2 linked regions of the Mus musculus genome follow. The protein of the gene in region 1 purifies or fractionates together with the protein of each later gene. This does not show direct contact. Links are inferred from orthologs where the notes say so. Each region holds a gene or a part of one and is shown on either strand. Other genes may lie near its edges.

Region 1 (4,599 bases):
AACAACAGGAAATATGTGTGGGAAGGGCTATGACATTTGACACATGCTGGTCAGCAAGGCTACCATAAGAAGCCAAAGCGGGGGTGTGATGGGTCCCGCTCTGCAGGAGAAAAGGAGCAAGGGCAGCTTCTCATGGAGGACGATGGGAGACGAGGGAGTCTCTGCATGGGGTGATGTGAGGGCAGGCAAGATGAGCAATGGCGAAGATACAGAGACAGGCAGCAGCAGACAGACAGACCCAGTGTCAGGCAGAGAAAGAGATGAGCAGAGACCCAATGCAGGGAGATAGACGTATTTTAGAAGACAAGCGGGGTTAGTGAAGAGACAAGAGAAAGATAGGACAGAGGGTGTCGGGCAGAGACCAGGGCTTACACAATGACTGGGTGAGTCACTTCCTGCCTATCGGCCTCAGTTTCCCGTTCTGGGGGAGGTTCTGTGTTGCCCGGATGGAAGCTGGAACCTGGATCCATCCTACCAGGCAGGCATTCTACCACTGAGCTAAAGGGAGACCTTTTCAGACAATTTGAAATCGTGGGTAGGGGGAGTTAGAGAGAGTAAGACAGGTGAACACCACAACTGTAGAAAAGGCTGAGGTGTAGGGCCTGGTGGCAGAAGACGGGCCGTTCAGTAGCTAGAAGACTAGCTACTGAAAAGGCTAAGGCAGAGAGACTGCAAGTTCAAGGCCGGCCTGCCACAAAATAATAAGTAAAAAGAGGGCTGGGGAGCATCTACGAGAAATTGAAGGGATGTGTTAAGAATACATTGTCAGAGCTGGGCGTGGTGGCGCACACCTTTAATCCCAGCACTTGGAAGGCAGAGGCAGGCAGATTTCTGAGTTCGAAGCCAGCCTGGTCTACAAAGTGAGTTCCCAGGACAGCCAGGGCTATACAGAGAAACCCTGTCTCAAAAAAAAAAAAAAAAAAAAAACATTGTCTACCTATAATTCTTAAAGAATAGATAAATTAATTTAAATTAAACCCTCAAAGAATAAAGTCATTAATTAAAAAAAAAAGAGGTAGGTGTTAGGGATACAGCTCAGAGTGGTTGCCTAGCAAACGTAAGACTCTAGGTTCAAAACTCACTATAGCAAAAAAAAAAAAAAAAAAAAAAAAAAAAAAAAAAAAAAAAGTGTGTGTGTGTGTGTGAAAGAGAGAGAGAGAGACTCAGAAGGGATGACAGGCCTATGGGACTCCTACCCTCAAATTTCCCTGAAAGGTGGACTGCAGGCTAGACCCAGAAATTTACTGACTGCCTACCTGAAAATCTGAACAACTAATCTGAGTTGGAGAATGCAGAAATAGGCCAGGCATGGTAGCAAATGCCTTGAATATCAACACCAGGGGTGATAGTGAGAAGCCCATCTCAAAAAAGAAGAAAAAAAGAAAATGCAAAACTGCCCCAACCCAGGAATAATTTTTGGCAAGAAAATATAGACATCCAGACAAAGATAGAGACATGGAAGTGAAGGGGATTATTGCCCAGGAAAAGACAGGCAAGACCCACAGGTGCTGGAGGGCAGGGCCATCATGGGATCCCCAGCAACAGCCAAGTGCACGGGCTGATGGTATGGTGTAGACTGGGAAGTCAGCTTCCAGGATACAAGCACAGAGAGAGACAGGAGAGGTGGACTGGTGGTGGAAGGGGGCCTCTGTCCCCTTGTCCTTCTAACCTTGGTAGATGTCCTGGAGAGAACCAGCTCCACAGAATTCCATGCAGATCCACAGCTTCTGCAGCCTATAGGGCGTCAAGAGAGCAGGGATTACAATGGTAGTGAGACCTCCCGGGGCTATCTCACTCCCCCGCCCACCACACAGTGTCCTGTTCCCATGACAGCAGAGGCTGAGGATAGCCAGGAAGTGTGTATTCCAGAGCAATTTTTAGGTCTTTGGGTTCCAACCCAAGAGCACCCCACTGCCACCCCAAGGTAATTTAGGGGACAGGGCAGAGAACCCATGGCGAAGCAGACAAGACAAAGAATCCCGGGTTTGAGGAAAAGATGCCATTATTGAGGCAGCTGAGATATTATCTTGGGAGCCAAGAAATTTGAGAGCTCAAATTAAAGAAGCAGAATAAAAATGGGTGATGCAGGGAGCAGACTAGTGAGAGATTTGATTACAACAACGAGGAGGGTTCTAGATTAGCCCTTAAAAATTAGCAGGCACTCAGTAAGAAAGGCAGAATTTCAGATTGGGAATCAGACTGGGATGCCCCAATTAAAAGTGAAAGTCCTCAGGTTGGAAGTCAAGTTAGGGTATCTGGGTCACAAATGGTAGTTTAGGAGTGGAGACCTGGTCAGAGTTAAGGGGCTGGGGTTGGGGGATGGGCTAAGACATCACCAGAGGTAACTGCCATGGTAAGCCACGATGTTGGCGTGCCGGCAAGTTTTCAGCATGAGAATCTCCTTCTGAAGGGTGGCGACGTCATCATCTGTGGGGAGGGGCCGGAGAGCGAAGGTGGGCTACAAGCGGGGGCTTACAGAAATGTCCCTGTATCCCAGGAAGGAAAGGGCGGGGATGGGGAAGAAGTTTCTGGGGGTGCTCTCACCAGGCTCCATCTTCACCATCTTCAAAGCCACCAGGTCCTTAGACACCTTGTCGCGAGCCTTGTAAAGGGGAAGTTGGTCATCAGGCAGACTCCATAGCTTGCCATCCTCAGCATCTCTGAACCAAGGCCAAGGCCTGGCATTCTCTTACACTCCTGCTTGCCAGCCTCTCCCCAACTATCCCAGGGTTGTGGTGGAGGAGACAGAAGGGCTTTCTCACCTTGAATACTTCTCCATAAGTTCCACCACCCAGTCGTTGCAGTAGATCATAGTGTTCTCGAGGGTCCTTATTAAAAATGTCGGGGTCCACAAGGGCCATTCCTGGAGGCCGGGGCTGGGCCAGTGCCCAGGGGGCCAACAGGGCCTCAGGGTTCAAGCTTTGGTATTACCTTCTGTCTCCACACAAGTCCTGGGCCCGCCTTGACTCTGTGGGCTGTGGCCTTCCCCCTCCCCACTCTCGCTTCCTGCCCCAGCTGCAGGGCTGTGCAGAGGGCTGCACAGAGGGCTCCACCCCCGTCCCCTGGGTTCTGAGAGTTTGATCGCCTTGGGACCCATGGGACTCCCCTTTACCCACTGAAGGACACTATGTAAATAAGATGCAAAAGTTCTTAAATGCAACCTGGGGCTGACCTAGCACCCTCTCCCCAACACTCTATTTTGGGAGGAGTCATAGGTTACGGTTGAACCTCTGCTGGGTTCTTGAAGATCTGGAATCAAGCCAGAGGTTGCAGGTCTGCACAAAGCTGGCTAGGTTTCACAGAAGACCTGTTTACTCGTGACACATGCATGTGACTTAAGTGACAGCTGAGCTCAGGGCACCTGCCCGCATGGCACATGTCTGTGCAACGCTTCAAACGTGTAGGGAATCTGTGGCAGACGTGGAACACTTGTTAGTAGCCCCTACGCAGAGCCGATGGAGACTACAGGTGTCTTTTGCCTTCCCGGCCTCCTAACAGCACTGTAGCAGTACGGAACCGAGTGGGGACCAGCGAGGAAGTGAAGATACATACAAGATGCTGTCTCAGGCACCCAAGTCGGAGACAAGAAGGGCTTCAGAGAGCATCTCCCACCCGACTAAACTCAAAGAAAAGGAAACAGCAACCCTTCACGGGGCTAAACGCTTAAGGCTACGCATGCGTAGAGAAAATAAAGTCTCCTTTCCCCGTACAACTCCAGCGCACGCGCGTCAGAAGCTTAAGTACTAAGTTTGCGCGGCCCGGGAAAAGCTTAGCCCGCCTCCTGGCGCCTGCGTAGTAAGGCAGACTAAACCTTTTCTCACGCTATTGGTCTCTTTTAAGTGAGCTCATTGCGCATGCGCAAGTTACAACTGCTGGAAGGAAATCACGTGGTAGACAAAAAAAAAAAAAAAAAAAAACAACCGGCGCTGGTGCTGAAAGCGCCTTTCCCTTTGCCTTCCTTGTAGGAGCTGGAGGGAGGGTGTGACGCAGGTTCCGCTTCCTACACCTCTCTTCCGGTCCTCTAGTGCTAAGCACCGTGCCTGGTGTTCGACTCCAGCTGAGGCTGCCGAAGGCAACAGTGATCATGGCGATGTTTGAGCAGATGAGAGCGAACGTGGGCAAGTTGCTCAAGGGTATCGACAGGTCTGAATTCCGCTGAAGGGCGCTCTCTGGCCAAGCGGGGTGGAGAAGACGGGGAGCCAGCCAGGGGTGGCCAGGGCTCCACGCTCCTCCAGAGATGGAGTTTCTCCAAGTTTCTCTCCGTCCCTCAACTTTACCTTTTCTGCTGCCACAGACTCCCGGTGTCTTTTAGTCTCTTCCTTCTCTGTCCTTGTGGACCATCCTACATAGTGTTTTCTGATGTCTATTTGGCCAGTGGGGACCGGAGGTGATGGAAACGGGAACCGGTCCTGCGTTCCTGGACTTAGGTTCCCATTCCATCCTGGCGACAACCCCATTCAGCAGATAGTGACAATAAGGAGCGATCAGGGCCTGGTCAGGTCAAGCCACGTATTGAGATAGGCAGGAGAGGATGGAACTGGGTCAGAACGGGATCGAAGAGAAGGTGTTCAGGAAAACATACGGGCTGCAGAGACTGAC
Region 2 (4,434 bases), on another chromosome or scaffold:
ATTAGGGTTTCTCTTCTCTTCTCTTCTCTTCTCTTCTCTTCTCTTCTCTTCTCTTCTCTTCTCTTCTCTTCTCTTCTCTTCTCTTCTCTTCTCTTCTCTTCTCTTCTCTTCTCTTCTCTTCTCTTCTCTTCTCTTCTCTTCTCTTCTCTTCTCTTCTCTTCTCTTCTCTTCTCTCTCTTCTCTTCTCTTCTCTTCTTTTTTCTTTTCTTTTCTTTTTCTTCTCCTCCTCCTTCTTTTCTTTTTTCTTTTCTTTTTTTTTGAGACAGGGTTTCTCTGTATAGCCCTGGCTGTCCTGGAACTCACTCTGTAGACCAGGCTGGCCTCGAACTCAGAAATCCACCTGTCTCTGCCTCCCAAGTGCTGGGATTAAAGGCACCTGCCACCACTGCCTGGCTTGTACTAGGGTTTCTTTTGCTGTGATGAAATACTATGACCAAAAACAGATTGGGGAGAAAAAGGTTTATTTGGCTTACATTTCCACATATTAGTCCATCTTTGAAGAAAGTAAGAATAGAAACTCAAACAGGGTAGGAACCTGGAGGCAGGAGCTGATGCAGAGATCATAGAAGGTGTTGCTTCCTTATAGAACTCAAGACCACTAGCCCACAGATAGCCCCACCCACTGTGGGCTGACCTTCTCCATCAATCACTAATTAAGAAAACACCCTACAGGTTTGCCTACAGAAGGATCTTAAGGATGCATTTTCTCAATTGTGGCACCCTCCTCTCTGCTGACTCTAATGTCAAGTTGATATAAAATTAATCAGCACAGCTTCTAACATGGAGATGACCCAGACCAGCTCTCAGAGACCTCAATCTGATAGAAGGAACCTGCTCTTTGGGAGTGACGTTCAACCCTTAAGAGTTCCTATTCCAAGGTGTGAGATAGCCAGGCTCTCTGGAAAAGTTAATGTAATAATCTTGTAACAGTATAGCACTCTCAGGTTTACAAAGTAATAAATAAATGTACGCGCCGGCGGTGGGGAATCTTCAGGCTATACAAGCCTGCATGCAATCTCAGTGCTTGGAAGTGAAGGCAGGCAGGCCAGGAACACAAGTTTGTCTTTGCCTTGGATACACGGGGCATGTCTCAACAAAACAAAACAAGCCATCACCTCTGCCGTCAACAGCAACGACAAAACAAACAAACAAAAAAACAGAAAAACTAAGGATTTTCAGACAGTAATGAAAGAGCATTAATCCTAGTGCAAACAGTTTGTAAAACTGTTCTACTCAAACTACAGTTTTGTGCTCTTTTCTTAAACGTCTAGTAGGTTGACCCTTTGGTGAGTGCTTTCTTCCTGAGTCTTAACTGCGGCTTGTAGGAGGAGAAGGCTAACAGTATCACTTGATCAAAACTTCCAGCCCTATTAAGATGTGAGCTCAGAGCTTTCTAGAAAGCTCCCAGGTATCTGGTGACCATAGCAACTCAAGCCAAACTCTGCGGCAGCGAGCCCCGCCCACTGCCTTGGGACCGCGACTGTTGATTTGCTCCTCGGCTTAGCCAATGGCCAGAGAAGCGGGTTGTGTTCCGGGAGCTCAATGGGCACCGATGGGCGGGGAGGCGGGAAGAAAGCCGGGAAGGGCGAACCCGCACGGCCGGGCGGCTCCTGCGTGTTTCCGGCTCCGCTGCGGAAGGCTAGCGAGGGGAGCCGTTGGGCCCGCGCGAACCGTGGGGAGCGCGGGCATCGCAGAACGCGAGTGCGGAGCTCGGGGCGCAGCACGATGGGAGGGGAGCAGGAGGAGGAGCGCTTCGACGGCATGCTGCTGGCCATGGCGCAGCAGCACGAGGGCGGCGTGCAGGAGGTAAACGACGTGGCCCGCGCCGCAGCCCTTCTCCGCGGTCGGCCGAGACCTCCCCCACCCCGGCCGCGCGGGTCCCCGGGTCCCCGCGTCCCAGCTTCCGGTCTGCCCAGCCCGCGAGTGAAGTCTCGCTCCAACGCCGTCAGCGCCCTGCACTTAGCCCCCAAGAGCAGTTTTCGTTGTCCCAGAGTGACCCCAGAGCTTCCGCACCCACTCTGCGCTCCACGGGTGTTTCTGCTTTCATTTTAATGGTTACTGTGTAGAGCATCCCTAATGGTGGTTACTCTTTAGAGCATCTCTGGGCCGACTCTTCTCGATATGATCTGCATCTTACCCAAAGTGGAGCCTGCCTATCAATACTGTGTAGGGTAGTGAGAGCCCGGGGGGGCGGTTAGCACGTGGTCTCTTTATACTTGAAAGTATACTGACTGAGGAAGTGAGCCGGAGACCTGTAGGTTAAGCTCCCTCCTGGTTTATCCTCAGTTACCTCGTCTGTGAGGTGAAGCTTAGGAATATCAGTTCCTGTTGTTTTTTTTTCTTGAGTCAGGGTCTTGCTCTATATCCCTGGCTTACGCAGAACTTGCTATATAGACCAAGTGACTTCCAAATCAGGGTTATTCTTCCTCTGTCTTCAGAGTGCGGGAACTTGGATATGGGCCACCCTGCCTAGCACCTAAGTACTTGTCATTGTCGTGTACCAGACACATAATAAGACTGGGTCCTGGGGATGCAGACACGGAAGAGACTAGGCTTTGCATTTGGGGAATTTGTTGAGGGTTTCTTGCTTTAAAAAATTATTTGGAGCCGGGTGTTGCTTTAATCCCAGCACTCAGGAGCCAGAGGCAGGTGGATCTTTGAATTTGAGGCCAGCCTAGTCTACAGAATGGGTTCTAGTACAGCTTGGGCTACACGGAGAAGCCTTGTCTCAGAAAAAAAACAAAACCAAAGAAATTTATTATTATTATTATTATTATTATTATTATTAGTAGTAGTAGTAGTGTTTGTGACAGGACAGTTTTAAGGGGCCAGTTTATTCCTGCCACCAGTATCTGGGTTTTTAGGGTTGAGTTGCTAGGATTTTGAGGCAGTCAATTTTACCCAGTGATTCATCTTGCTGGTCAGGATAAGATGGTGCGTGACTGGAGTCCTAGCACTGGGGAGGAAGAGGCAGGAAAATTGCTACAAGTTAGAGGTTAGCCTGGTCTGTATAGCAACTTCTAAGCCAATCAGGGATATATAGTAAGACCCACAAATATAATAACCCCCAAATAACCCATAGGTGATGTTAAATGGCCAGACCTAGTTCACACAGTGGGTGTGTAGCAGATGAGCTGGTAGAGGTAGAAAACCCAGATATTACATTCTGTAAGCACCTGAGGGTCAGAGAGTGACAAGTTTACCCAAAGCCAGGCCCCCAAGTCCCCGAGGAGACGGGCTCCTGCCACCCGTCACTGGGGATGGCTTTCCATTCTGTCTTGGTCAGAGTGACCACTGCTGTGATGAAGCAGGAAGAGCAGCTTGATGAGAGGAAAGGCTTTATCTTACTCACAGGTTCACAGAACAGCTCATCATCAAAAGTAGTGGGGGGCCAGAGCTGGAGGCAGGAGCGGATGCAAAGGCCATAGAGGGGCATTGCTTACTGGCTTGCTCCGCCTTTCTAGAACCCAGGACCATCAGCCCAGGGATGGTACCGCCCCCAATAGGCTGGGTTCCATCCATCTCTCCTTAAGAAGCTGCTCTAGAGGCTTGCCCGCAGCCTGATCCAATGGAGGCAGTTTCTTAATTGGAGTTCCCTCCTCTCTGATGACTTTAACTTGTGTCAAGGCACATAAAACTGGTTGCCACACCTTCGAAGTCTTTTTCTCTAGGTGCCTGTGTTAACTGAGGGCTTCTAAACCCTTGAAGCGGGGGAGTCTTGTCTAATCTGCAAATGTGAACCTTGTCTGCGTGTTCCTAAACTGACACAATGTGAAAGTGTTTGGGAGTGAATCCACTTTGTTTCTGTGAACTCAAAGTGTCTAGAGGTAGGGATGGCTGTCTCAGATTCAGAACCTCTCGCTGGGGCTGGGGCAAGTGAGAGTCGTCGTGCTAACTGGGGGCCTGCGCCAGCTTGGGCTTCTCCCCAGGAGTCGACTGAGCATGGGCCTGTCATAAAACACTTGAGCCAAGACACTCTTTCAGTGCTCCCTGCTTGCTGTGGATGTGACGTGACCATCTCCCTAAGCTTTGCTTTTTTTTTTTTTGTTGTTTTTCGAGACTTGGTTTTTTTGTATAGCCCTGGCTGTCCTGGAACTCACTCTGTAGACCAGGCTGGCCTCGAACTCAGAAATCCGCCTCCTCTGCCTCCTGAGTGCTGGGATTAAAGGCGTGTGCCACCACCGCCCGGCTCCCTACGCTTTTGCTCCTTGTCTTTCCCACTGTGATGGGCCAAGCCTGAAACTATAGGTCAAAATAAACCCTTTCCCCTCTTAAGTTGCTTTTCACAGGTCTTGTGGTTTTGGTTGTTGGTTGTATTTTTTGCTTGCTTGTTTTTTTTTTTAATCCCAGCACTCAGGAGGCAGAGGCAGGTGGATTTCTGAGTTCGAGGCCAGCCTGGTCTGCAAAGTGAGTTCCAGGACAGCCCAGAATATA

The links.
Region 2: the proteins of Map4k1 (region 1) and Nudc purify together in Homo sapiens (affinity purification with mass spectrometry; 3 studies listed by BioGRID and IntAct, with this or other methods). This does not show direct contact. The link is inferred for Mus musculus from reciprocal best matches to the Homo sapiens genes MAP4K1 and NUDC.

Annotation. Positions count from the first base shown.
Region 1 is NC_000073.6:28,981,218-28,985,816, reverse strand, and holds the start of Map4k1 (mitogen-activated protein kinase kinase kinase kinase 1), read right to left. Parts: upstream 2,964-4,599; 5' UTR 2,862-2,963; coding exon 2,763-2,861; intron 2,603-2,762; coding exon 2,545-2,602; intron 2,428-2,544; coding exon 2,337-2,427; intron 1,735-2,336; coding exon 1,670-1,734; intron 1-1,669. Other genes in the region: Eif3k (eukaryotic translation initiation factor 3 subunit K), read left to right, coding at 4,085-4,143. UniProt on the Homo sapiens protein: Serine/threonine-protein kinase, which plays a role in the response to environmental stress. Appears to act upstream of the JUN N-terminal pathway.
Region 2 is NC_000070.6:133,543,177-133,547,610, reverse strand, and holds the start of Nudc (nuclear migration protein nudC), read left to right. Parts: upstream 1-1,583; 5' UTR 1,584-1,725; coding exon 1,726-1,806; intron 1,807-4,434. UniProt on the Homo sapiens protein: Plays a role in neurogenesis and neuronal migration. Necessary for correct formation of mitotic spindles and chromosome separation during mitosis. Necessary for cytokinesis and cell proliferation.